Linked DNA regions of Oryctolagus cuniculus. The protein of the gene in region 1 interacts with the protein of each later gene in a pairwise test. Links are inferred from orthologs where the notes say so. Each region holds a gene or a part of one and is shown in the gene's direction. Other genes may lie near its edges.

Region 1 (3,500 bases):
GCACCAGTGCCACTCCAGGACTCCGTCCAGGCCTTGGCAAGCCTCCAGCCATGGAGCCCCTTGTCAACCAAGCGGGTAGAGCGTTGCCTCTTCTTATGCTGGGTTTAGTTTCTCCCTCTCCTGGCTTGGTTTCGTTGTTGTCTGTTAATCTCTGGAGGCCGTGTCCCCACAAATAGAAAAGGCACTTAGGGCCACCTTCATTCCCATGTCTGAAAATGGTAAGAAATGCTCGTCCTTGGTCTTGTGCAGAGGCACCCTGGTTGGTCTCTGGTGGTTTGCTCTCAGATTTCCTTTGTCTTCCAAGAAGTCCAAATTGGAGAGACATCAGTAACGTTTCTGATAATTATTCCGAACAGAAGCTCCTTACCAAGCTCTCATTAAATGTCTCACTTTGCTGATAGTAACTACAACAGCCAGTGTGTCTGGCCCATGTGTATTCCTGCCGATGGCACTGGCTGCTTTTGCATTTGGTGTATCCTGCAGAGACTCCTGGGTCTCTCCTGTCTTAGAAGCAGAGAGGGCTTTGCTAAGACTTGTAGCCCATGAATAAACCTGTCACTTTGAACTCCATCTTCCTCACTGGGAAAGGAAGAAAGCAACAGGCTGGCCCAAAGGAAAACAGGCACCAGGATATGCCTCCTAAACCCTGCTTTGGTTTACATAAATGCAGGATTTGGTTTTCAATTGGAATTGGTACCAGGGAATGGAAAGTTCGGACTGAAGGAGAAATCTTGGATTTTATCGAGAAAATCTTCTTTTGAGATTAAGTCAGGTAAACACTTAGTGCCTGTGGCTTGGTTTGCCCTCTGTAAATTGGGTGCAATAATGCTGCTTAATTCCCCTGGTTCCTCACTGGGTCCACATACACCAATGAGAAAATGTGTGGGGTGTGCATCCTGTCCACGGGTGTCTTGTCTTTGCTGGAGATGAATTCGACCCTGGGGAAAATGGACCCAGTGTATAAATTGAAGGTGATTTCCCCCTCTCAGAGGCCATTCCTCTTGCTCCTTTTCCCTAATGAATGGCACTGACAAATGACACTGGAATCTCAGGGCAGGATCTACCACAGCAGGTCCCTTGAGTCACACGTGGCTTTTGTTTCCTTTCAGCAGCCGGTTTGAGGACGCCCCTGGCGGTGCCTGGCCCGTACCCTGCTCCCTTCGGGATGGTGCCCCATGCCGGCATGAACGGCGAGCTGACCAGCCCCGGGGCAGCTTACGCCAGTTTACACAACATGTCTCCACAGATGAGTGCTGCAGCCGCCGCGGCCGCTGTGGTGGCCTACGGGCGCTCCCCCATGGTAGGCTGCTGTGGGGTGCCATGGGTGGGGTGGACCAGCTGTTTGCTTCCCTGAGCGTGCCCAGGCCCAGGCTGCACACATGCTCCATGGGCAGGTGCCGTGGCACCACACACCTTAAGAACAAAGCCACCCAGTGTTGCAGCCTCACATCTGGGCTGTCCCCTCGTCAAGCCGATATCTCATGCTGCTTCGTTGAGTTGGGCCCAAACGCCTTTTGTTTTTCTGTTTTTGTGGATGAAAAAACAGCCGTGTTTAGCTCCTTCAGTAGTTTGAGGGACACCTGGTTTTCTCCCACCAAAGCTGGTTTTTTATTCAAAGGCGATGAAATGACTCAAGTGGCTCACAGAAGCCTTTTACATTTTTTGTCTTGAGCTCTTTTTTTTCTTTCTCTCCTCATTTTAAACCTTAGGAGAAAATATTTGAGAAGCCACAGCTTTCTCTTCTCATGCCTGTATTGTATTATACTTTAAACTCCGTAAAGTGGCTTACATTTGAGAAGTGCTCTCTGGACAACAGATGGAAAGACAGACAGACTGTGAAACCACAGGGGGCCGGAGGGGTGGGCCTTCCCTTGTCTTCCTTCTGCCACAGTGCACCTGGCCCACTTTTTGACCAAGAAGTTACAAAACCGCATTTGAAGACTAAAATTGTGTAACCATTGATTGCATCAGGTAAAGAGACTGTGTTATCACCCACAGTCCTGTTTCTCTTGACTATTTGAACTGTGTTGCAGATTATTCTCTCCTTTTGCTTCTTCAAACAGCATTACCACTGATAGTTTAAGATCCTATTAAAGTTCATTGTCTTTCCCTTGTGTTGTACTTATGGGAAAGACTATGCACTGCAGGGTAGAGAAGTCAGTAAGATGGGCTTGAGGACCCACATACTGTCAGGAAGGTGCACAAAACGGGAATCCAGAAGAAAAAGGAGAGGGTGGGGATCTGTGTATGAGTCCTTGAGCACTGGTTTAGATCAGGATGTTTGTCCTGGAGACATATGGAGGCTTTTAAAAAACGTATTTAAAAAACAGGTGTTGATAGTGATAAATGCAATACTTGTACTTTGTAATGGGTCACAGTGCAATGTTTTAAAACACACAGGGTGAACCAAACCAAGCAACTAGACTTTCCATTTCCTTCACCAGCTGTCTGTCTTCCAATTCTTGTACAGTATGTGACGCATTACTGTGAACTACTGTCACACCACTAGGCTGAGGACTAATATGACATGCTATTTCCATCTGGCTGTGTTTCAGCACCCAGTATTTAAGACATTTTTAATGATCAGAACTAGGGGAAGCTACTGGCACTTAGGAGGTCGAGACCTCCGATACTGGTAGACATTCTTCAATGTTCATTACGTCAAGATAGCCTCAGGAGAGAAAAAAACAGGCTGGTCCTGAGTATCTGTGGTGCCATACTTGAGGAATCACTTGGACTTTTTTTCTTTTTTTTTGAAAGGCAGAGGGAGAGATAGAAAGATCTTCTATCTGCTGGCTCACTCCTCAAATGGCTGAAACGGCTGGGGCTTGGCCAGAGTGAGGCCAGGAACCTAGAATTCCAACTGGGTCTCCCATGTGGGTGACAGGGACTGAAGCACTCGGGTCATCCTCTGCTGTCTTCCCAGGATGTTAGCAGGGAGCTGGATCCAGAGGGAGCAGCCGGGACTCCAGCTGGCACTGTGATGTGCGATGCCGGTGTCTCAGTTGGCAGCTTGACTGACCGCAGCCTGAGCTGGCCCCTAGACCACATATTGTTCTCTGAACTTACTTAGGCAAAGCAAAACATCTTCAGCCTGGCGTGGGGAGCTGGTTCTCAGCACACACATAGATCACACACTTCTTTGCCTCCCCCAGAAGATGTGTATCTTGTAGTATTTAGGGCTGTTTATGTTACTTCTGGTGGTTTTTTTTTTTTTTTTTTTTTTAACGCTAGGACACATTGCCGTTCTGGTTTATATTTCCGGTGTATGAGTTTCTAATGACAAGCCTTTATTGATGTTCCCAGAATGCATGCCCTGCACAGACCGAGTCAGACCTGCCTTGTTTTTGTTTCCAGGTTGGCTTTGATCCGCCCCCTCACATGAGAGTCCCCACCATCCCTCCAAACCTGGCGGGAATCCCCGGGGGAAAACCGTAAGTACCTCTGGGCGTGACTTGTCGATGGTTTCAAAGGCAGTGTCTCAGTCGTGGGGGTTGGCA
Region 2 (4,203 bases), on another chromosome or scaffold:
GCTGGCGCAGGACAGGCGACCAGGCTGAGCCCAAGTGCCCAGGGAAGACAATCCAGGCGTTTGGGTTGCTGGAGTTTCTTACAGAGCAGCCCCCCGGAATGCTGGGAGGACGGACAGAGACCCTCCGGAAGTCACTTTTGATTCCTGGACTCCAGTCTGTCCTCCCCCGCCGCCCTGTTTGTTTTAGTTACGAAACGTTGCGAGCACCTCGGTAGTGGCTGAAAAGTAACCTTGAAAGGCGCGGGCCTGAATGTCAGAGACAAATCATAGCCTCCCAACCGTCGGCTGCAGCCAGCGGGGCTGCGCCCGGCTGTCCCCACTGTGGGCGGCTGGCGGCTGAGCCCGGAGGAGGCGCGGGCCGGGGCTGCGGCCGCCGGACCATGCGCGCCCCGTGCGCCTTCCGCAGCCACCGCGGGGCTCGGCTGTGACGGTCCCGGGAGGGGCCTCCCGGAGCAGCGGCGGCAGAGTTCGAGGTGTGTACACAGGTTTTCTGAATACGACGGCGCTTTGCCCGCTGCTTGCTTTCAGCACTGAAGAACCCCGGGAAAAATAAATCCGGCTTGAATCCGGCTCTGCGGGGCGCGGCGGCCGGACGCGTGTCCTGGACACAGGCGCCGTGAGCCTGGCGCTCTGGGACGGGGCGGGGGTCCTGGGCCGGAGCCGCTCCCGAGGTTGGCCTCTTTGCGGGTCCCTCTTCCCACCGCGAGGTGGGGGTGTGTGTGGGTTGGGGGGGGGGACACCGTCCGGAGCCGGGAGGGCAGGAGGCTGGCTGGATCCGGGTGCCGGCCAGCCGGCCGGCTTGCCTGACACCCCCCTCGCCCCACGCTCGCTCTCTCCGAGTGCGGGGCGCGGAGGGGCAGGTGCGGGGCGCGCGGGCCGAGGCTCCCTCTCACCTAGGTGTGAGCTGATTATTCAAATGGGCTGCCCCGGGTCTGGGGATTGGAGGCCCGCGCCAGCGCGCCGCGCTATATCACCAGCCGCCCACGTCACTGCGGCACTTGTCCGCTCCGCGGTCCGCACCTCCTCCTCCTCCTCCTCCTCTTCCTCCTCTTCCCCCCTCCCCCACCCACCCCTGCGCTGCGCGCTTCCCGCCGCCTCGGGGCAGCTCGGCACTGCCAGCATCAGCCGCCACCCGGCAGCCCGAGAGCGGGGCGCGGGCGGCGGGCGCTCCCGACAGCCGGGCCCCGGCCTGGGCCTCCTGCGCTCCTCCGCCCCCTCCTCCCGCCCACTTCCAGCCACCGCCTCCGGCCGGCCGGCGCGAGAGGGAGTGGAGCCGAGAGCGAGCGAGCGAGCGCGAGGAGGGCGGAGGGAGGGAGGGGACGGTGCCTCGGCTGACTTTTTTTTTTTTTTTTTTAAAGAGGGTGGGGGTGGGGGGTGATCGCCGGTCGTTTGTTGTGGCTGTTAAATTTTAAACTGCCATGCACTCGGCTTCCAGTATGCTGGGAGCTGTGAAGATGGAAGGGCACGAGCCGTCCGACTGGAGTAGCTACTACGCCGAACCCGAGGTAAGCGCTCGCCTCGCCCGGGGGAGAGTGGGGCGGCGGGCGGCGCTCGCCCCGCGCCCGCCTCGGGACCGCTCCCCTCGCGGGCTCCCGCCCCCCCACCCCAGCCTTTCCGGGCGGCCGCCTTTACCTCCCTCCTTCGACTCAAATGGGTCTCTTTTTTATACGACACACTGTTAGCCTTGAGATAATATTAACTTTGTGATCAAATATTGACTTGCGGCGCCTCCAAATCCTCTTCGTGGCCGAGCCACGCACTCTCCTAACACAGTTCTGTTTGGCAGCGCGCGGCTGGGGAGGGGTGGGGAGCTGAAGAGGGGAAGGTGGTGGGCAGGAGCTGGGGGGTGAGGTGGAGGCAGCGGCAGAGCAGCGGGCGAAGGAGGCGAAAGAAAAGTTTGCGACTGCCGAGCCCGGCCGCGGGGAGTTTGTGGTGTCCCCAGCGCGCGCGGCTCCTGCGCTGTTCCTCGGGGCGATGTCCCGCTCTGCGTCCGGGCTAGGCGCTGGCTCGTGTTTCAGCTCCCCAGGGGCTGGGGAGGGGGTCGGGGAGGAGCGCCCGATGGAGGAGACCCTGGGTCAGTCTCCGCCTGGTGTCCCAAAGGTGGCTTGCCGGGGCAGGATGTGTCGTCCGGAGACCCTCAGCCGGGGCGCCGGCTCAGCATGCTGGCAGGAGAGTTTAGAAGGGGACTGCGGGCAGGGGAGGTGCATCCAGAGTGCTCGGCTTTGGGGTGCTCCGGGGATCCCCGTACGCTAGGCGCAGACAGGCTAGGAAGCTTCAGTTTCGTGCCCAGAGCAACAGCTCACCGGGCATCTCCCCAAAAAGCGATCAGAGCTCGCTCGGGGTAAAAAGGCCTCGATGTCCAAATACAGGCGTACCCCCCCAGCAGGGAAGGCCTCCCCCGGAGGAGGCGCGGGACCCGGGCCGGCTAGGGCGGCGGGGCTCGGGGAGGTGCGGGCACCCCACAGCCGCGGTGCTAACTCTGTCGCCCCCTTCTCCCTCCGCGGGCTCTGTTTGCAGGGTTACTCCTCGGTGAGCAACATGAACGCCGGCTTGGGCATGAACGGCATGAACACGTACATGAGCATGTCGGCGGCCGCCATGGGCAGCGGCTCCGGCAACATGGGTGCGGGCTCTATGAACATGTCGTCGTACGTGGGCGCGGGCATGAGCCCGTCCCTGGCGGGCATGTCCCCCGGCGCGGGCGCCATGGCGGGCATGGGCGGCTCGGCCGGGGCCGCGGGCGTGGCGGGCATGGGGCCGCACCTGAGCCCCAGCCTGAGCCCGCTCGGGGGCCAGGCGGCGGGCGCCATGGGCGGCCTGGGCCCGTACGCCAACATGAACTCCATGAGCCCCATGTATGGGCAGGCGGGCCTGAGCCGCGCGCGCGACCCCAAGACCTACCGGCGCAGCTACACGCACGCCAAGCCACCCTACTCGTACATCTCGCTCATCACCATGGCCATCCAGCAGAGCCCCAACAAGATGCTGACGCTGAGCGAGATCTATCAATGGATCATGGACCTCTTCCCCTTCTACCGGCAGAACCAGCAGCGCTGGCAAAACTCCATCCGCCACTCGCTCTCCTTCAACGACTGCTTCCTCAAGGTGCCCCGCTCGCCGGATAAGCCCGGCAAGGGCTCTTTCTGGACCCTGCACCCGGACTCGGGCAACATGTTCGAGAACGGCTGCTACCTGCGCCGCCAGAAGCGCTTCAAGTGCGAGAAGCAGCTGGCGCTCAAGGAGGCCGGAGCCCCTGGCGCTGGGGCCGGCGGCAAGAAGGCGGCGGCGGTGGGCGCGCAAGCCTCACAGGCTCAGCTCGGGGAGGTGGCCGGGCCAGCCCCGGACACCCCAGCGGGCACCGAGTCGCCTCACTCGAGCGCCTCGCCGTGCCAGGAGCACAAGCGCGTGGCGCTGGGGGAGCTGAAGGGGTCGGCGGCCGGGGCGGCGCTGAGTCCCCCGGAGCCGGCACCCTCGCCCGGGCAGCAGCAGCAGCAGCAGGCGGCCGCGGCCCACCTGTTGGGCCCGCCCCACCACCCGGGCCTGCCCCCCGAGGCTCACCTCAAGCCGGAGCACCACTACGCCTTCAACCACCCCTTCTCCATCAACAATCTCATGTCTTCGGAGCAACAGCACCACCACAGCCACCACAGCCACCACCAGTCCCACAAAATGGACCTCAAGGCCTATGAACAGGTGATGCACTATCCCGGCTACGGGTCGCCCATGCCCGGCAGCTTGGCCATGGGGCCCGTTACGAACAAAGCGGGCCTGGACGCCTCGCCCCTCGCCGCAGAGACCTCCTACTACCAGGGGGTGTATTCTCGGCCCATCATGAACTCTTCTTAAAGAAGGTGGCTTCAGGCCCGACTGGCTCAGACAAGCCTGGGACACAGACCAGAGAGAGAGAGAGAGAGAGAGAAAGAGGAGGAAGTGGCTGTGCAGACTTTAGCAGGGGGGCTTGGAGAGATGCAAGGGTGGAGAGATCCGTGACATCCCCCCCCCCAAGGCAAGCCCTTCTCTCCTGGAAAGATCACATTGAAACCTGTCGTTCTATATAGCGAGGGAAAGAGGAAGAAATATAAATTCAGAAAAAGAAAGAAAGAAAGAGAAAAGAAACAAAGGAAGAAGATAAAAGAAAGCCTCCGGTTTCACTGCTGTGTAGACTCCTGGTTTTGGAAGCACCTGCCAGTTCTGACCTTTTGT
Region 3 (3,284 bases), on another chromosome or scaffold:
CCTGGGAGAGGCCCTGGGCACAGCCGTGCCCCCCACCCCGGGCACACACCCCCTCCCATTCCCTAGCACCCAGCACCTCCGCGGGGTCCGGCTCTGCTCTGCAGGTGCAGGAATGTGGACAGAGGGTCCGTGGTCTGGCACCGGCAGCCTGGAGGGCTCAGCACCCTGCACAGGGCAAGTGGTGCGTGGCAGGCCTGCGGCTGGGGGCGGAAGGGGGGCGTTCCGGCTCTGCGGGGCGGCGCAGGCAGCCGGGCGGTGGAGCAGGAGCTGGGCTCGGCAGGGCCGGCAGATGGGCGGCCGCGGTGGGGGGGTGGCGGGCGTCTGGCCGCCCCGAGCAAGCGCCTGCCGGCCGCACAAAGCGGGCGGAGACAAAGGCGCGGCCGACACCTGTCGCTCTTGGCGCGGCTGCAGCTGCCAACTGTCACGGGCATCAAGTTACGGGGCCAGACGGCGGCGCGGCGGGGCGCGGGGCACCGTAGGGAGGTGGGGCGGGGGCCCGGGGCGGGGGGCACCGTGGGGAGGTGGGGCGGTGCATGACGGGTTGGGGGGCTGGAGCTCAGGGAGGGGCCGGGAAGGAGAGCCCGGGGGTGCGGCCCAGCGAAGGAGGCGTCGGAGCAGGGGGAGGCGAAGGAAAAGGAGGGCTACGGGGAACTGGGGGCGAGGGGACCACCGAGGGTGGGAGCGCTCAGAGCGGGTGGCGGGGCAAGGGGAGCGCGAGGAGGAACAGGCAGGCGACAGCGCTGGCGGACCCCGCCCCACCAGGATGCTGGGGCCAACCGAGGGTGGGCGTTGCGGGGCGAGCCTGGTGTCGGGATGAGGCTGCCCCACCTCCCCGGAGCGCAGAGGCACCCTGGCCGGATGCGACGTCCCCTCCCGGTCCGGAGGAGAGAGCCAGGCGGACCACGGAGGAGTCCCCGCACGCACGCACGCAGACCCGCGCCCTAACGCGGCGAAGGAAGCGACCAGCGCGGCCGGGGCCGCGGTCCTGGGGGCCGCCCCCGCGGGGGTCGCGACGGCGCTGCGCGAGGGGCCCCGCCCTGCCAGCTGCTCGCCGCCCGGGCCGCGGGACCGCACAAAGCGCGCCGCTCCCATTGGCTGCGGCGCGCCTCGCGGCCCGCAGCGCCGCGCCCGCTCCGCCAATCGGCGCATTGACATGCAAATGAGCCTCTATAAAAGGGGCGGGGCGGCCGGCGGCCGGAAGACGCGCGACGGCGAGGGCTGCCGCGGGGCCTCGAGGAGCCGGCGCCCACCGCCCGCAGCCCTCGCCGCACTCGTGGCGGGGCGGCCATGGCCCCGTCCCTGGCCCCCGGCCGGGACCGTACGGGCCGGGAGCACGAAGACAGCGGGGAGGCTCGTGGGGACCGCAAGGTGCGGGCCGGAGGCGCGGGCGGGCGGGCGGGGGGAGGCCGCCCGGGGCCGGGGCTCAGGGGCCCGCTTCCCGCAGGCCCGGAAGCCCCTGGTGGAGAAGAAGCGGCGCGCGCGGATCAACGAGAGCCTGCAGGAGCTGCGGCTGCTGCTGGCGGGCGCCGAGGTGCGGCCGGCGGGCGCGGGGGCGGGCTGCGGGGCGGGCTGCGGGGCGCGCGCCGGCCTCACGCGCTCCCCGACGGCGCAGGTGCAGGCCAAGCTGGAGAACGCCGAGGTGCTGGAGCTGACCGTGCGGCGCGTGCAGGGAGCGCTGCGGGGCCGGGCGCGCGGTGAGTGCGGGGCGCGCTGGCCCGGGCCGCCCCTCCCCGGGAGGGGTGACCTCCCCCGTCCGCTCGGCGCCCAGGGCCCTCCCCGGGGTCCACGGAGGGGGGGACCCGTGGGCCAGGGGAGTCGCCGCTCACCGTGCCGGGCACGGCTCTCTCCTCCCCTCTCTCGGGCGCAGAGCGCGAGCAGCTGCGGGCGGAAGCCAGCGAGCGCTTCGCCGCCGGCTACATCCAGTGTATGCACGAGGTGCACACCTTCGTGTCCACGTGCCAGGCCATTGACGCCACCGTCGCCGCCCAGCTCCTGAACCACCTGCTGGAGTCCATGCCCCTGCGCGAGGGCAGCAGCTTCCGAGACCTGCTGGGGGGCGCCCTGGCGGGACCGCCGGGAGCCCCTGGGCGGGGCGGCTGGGCCGCAGGGGCGTCCCCGGGGTCCCCACTGCCCAGCCCCCCAGGTCCCGGGGACGACCTGGGCTCCGACCTTGAGGAGGCCTCCGAGGCTGATTTGAGTCGGGCGCCTGGGGAGCGGCTGCACTTGGTGCCTGCAGCCTTGGGCGGCCTCACTGCAGCCCGAATGGCCCAGAGCGTCTGGCGGCCCTGGTGACTGTGCTGGCCCGGAACCAGGGGCCAGGCCTTCCCAGCTGCACGCCCGCCACCCTGGGGGTCCCACGTGGTGGGGCAGGGCCCGAGGGGTCTCCCAGTCGGCCGCCCTCCTCCAGTGGGTAGCTGGCTGGCCAGCACCAGGTGACGGCCCAGCCAGGCCCCGGGCCCTGTTCCTGGAGGGAGCCTCTTTGTGCTCAGGGGTGGTGGAGGGGGGAGCTCCAGGCAGGAGGAAGACCCAGCCAGAGCTCCACCCTCTTCCGTGTGCACCTCTGCCAGCAGTCTCAGGTGCTGGGCGGGGAGTGAGGGCAGAGGCGGCCGGTGCTGCTGAGCCCTCGTGTCCCGGGCAGGGGCACCTGCAGCAGTGCCAGAGACGCGAGACGTTCTGAACGTCTTGCGGTAGCACACTTGAGTTTCTGTGTCAGGGTGCGGTCACATGTTCCCAGACGCATTAAATAAAGAGTTTCGCAGTACGACGGCCTTGAAGAAACCTGAATGATGTGTCGTTAATGCTGCGACGTGTGCGTGGTGACCTCGGCACATCCTGTCCTGCAGCTGGAGTACTGATGCGTTTAACACCTCGGCTCCGGGGGTCGCCCTGGTGGTGCCCCACTTCCGGTCCAGCTCCCCGGGAGAGCAGCAGGAGATGGCCCAGTCCTTGGGCCCGGGCATTCACGTGGGAAACCAGGATGGACTTCCAGGCTCTCGTCTTTGGCCTGGCCTAGCCCTGGCCGTTGCAGCCATTTGGGGAATGAACCACTGGATGGAAGGGCGGTGTCTGTCTCTCTCTCTCTCTCTCATCCTCACCTTCTGTCAGCAAAATGAGCAATGGAGATGGACGCTTGCTGGCTGGCCTCCGCTGTGGCTGGGCAGGTCCTCAGGCCAGGCCACGCCTCCTGGAAATGGTGTGCCCCCAGAGGATTCCACTGGCAGGGGGCTTGTCTCCAGGGTGACAGGGATGGGGACGCCACCGTTCTGCAGTTGATGAGCTTCCAG

The links. The genes of interacting proteins can lie anywhere in the genome.
Region 2: the proteins of TLE1 (region 1) and FOXA2 interact in a two-hybrid assay, tested with the Homo sapiens proteins (2 studies listed by BioGRID and IntAct). The link is inferred for Oryctolagus cuniculus from reciprocal best matches to the Homo sapiens genes TLE1 and FOXA2.
Region 3: the proteins of TLE1 (region 1) and HES6 interact in binary tests that used the Homo sapiens proteins (3 or more experiments, as listed by UniProt). The link is inferred for Oryctolagus cuniculus from reciprocal best matches to the Homo sapiens genes TLE1 and HES6.

Annotation. Positions count from the first base shown.
Region 1 is NC_091432.1:148,610,649-148,614,148, forward strand, and holds part of TLE1 (transducin-like enhancer protein 1), read left to right. Parts: coding exon 1-75; intron 76-670; coding exon 671-772; intron 773-1,109; coding exon 1,110-1,300; intron 1,301-3,357; coding exon 3,358-3,434; intron 3,435-3,500. UniProt on the Homo sapiens protein: Transcriptional corepressor that binds to a number of transcription factors. Inhibits NF-kappa-B-regulated gene expression. Inhibits the transcriptional activation mediated by FOXA2, and by CTNNB1 and TCF family members in Wnt signaling.
Region 2 is NC_091442.1:46,966,096-46,970,298, reverse strand, and holds the start of FOXA2 (hepatocyte nuclear factor 3-beta), read left to right. Parts: upstream 1-1,403; 5' UTR 1,404-1,418; coding exon 1,419-1,505; intron 1,506-2,517; coding exon 2,518-3,846; 3' UTR 3,847-4,203. UniProt on the Homo sapiens protein: Transcription factor that is involved in embryonic development, establishment of tissue-specific gene expression and regulation of gene expression in differentiated tissues.
Region 3 is NC_091434.1:2,165,875-2,169,158, forward strand, and holds HES6 (transcription cofactor HES-6), read left to right. Parts: upstream 1-1,176; 5' UTR 1,177-1,287; coding exon 1,288-1,368; intron 1,369-1,444; coding exon 1,445-1,531; intron 1,532-1,612; coding exon 1,613-1,694; intron 1,695-1,867; coding exon 1,868-2,292; 3' UTR 2,293-2,784; downstream 2,785-3,284. UniProt on the Homo sapiens protein: Does not bind DNA itself but suppresses both HES1-mediated N box-dependent transcriptional repression and binding of HES1 to E box sequences.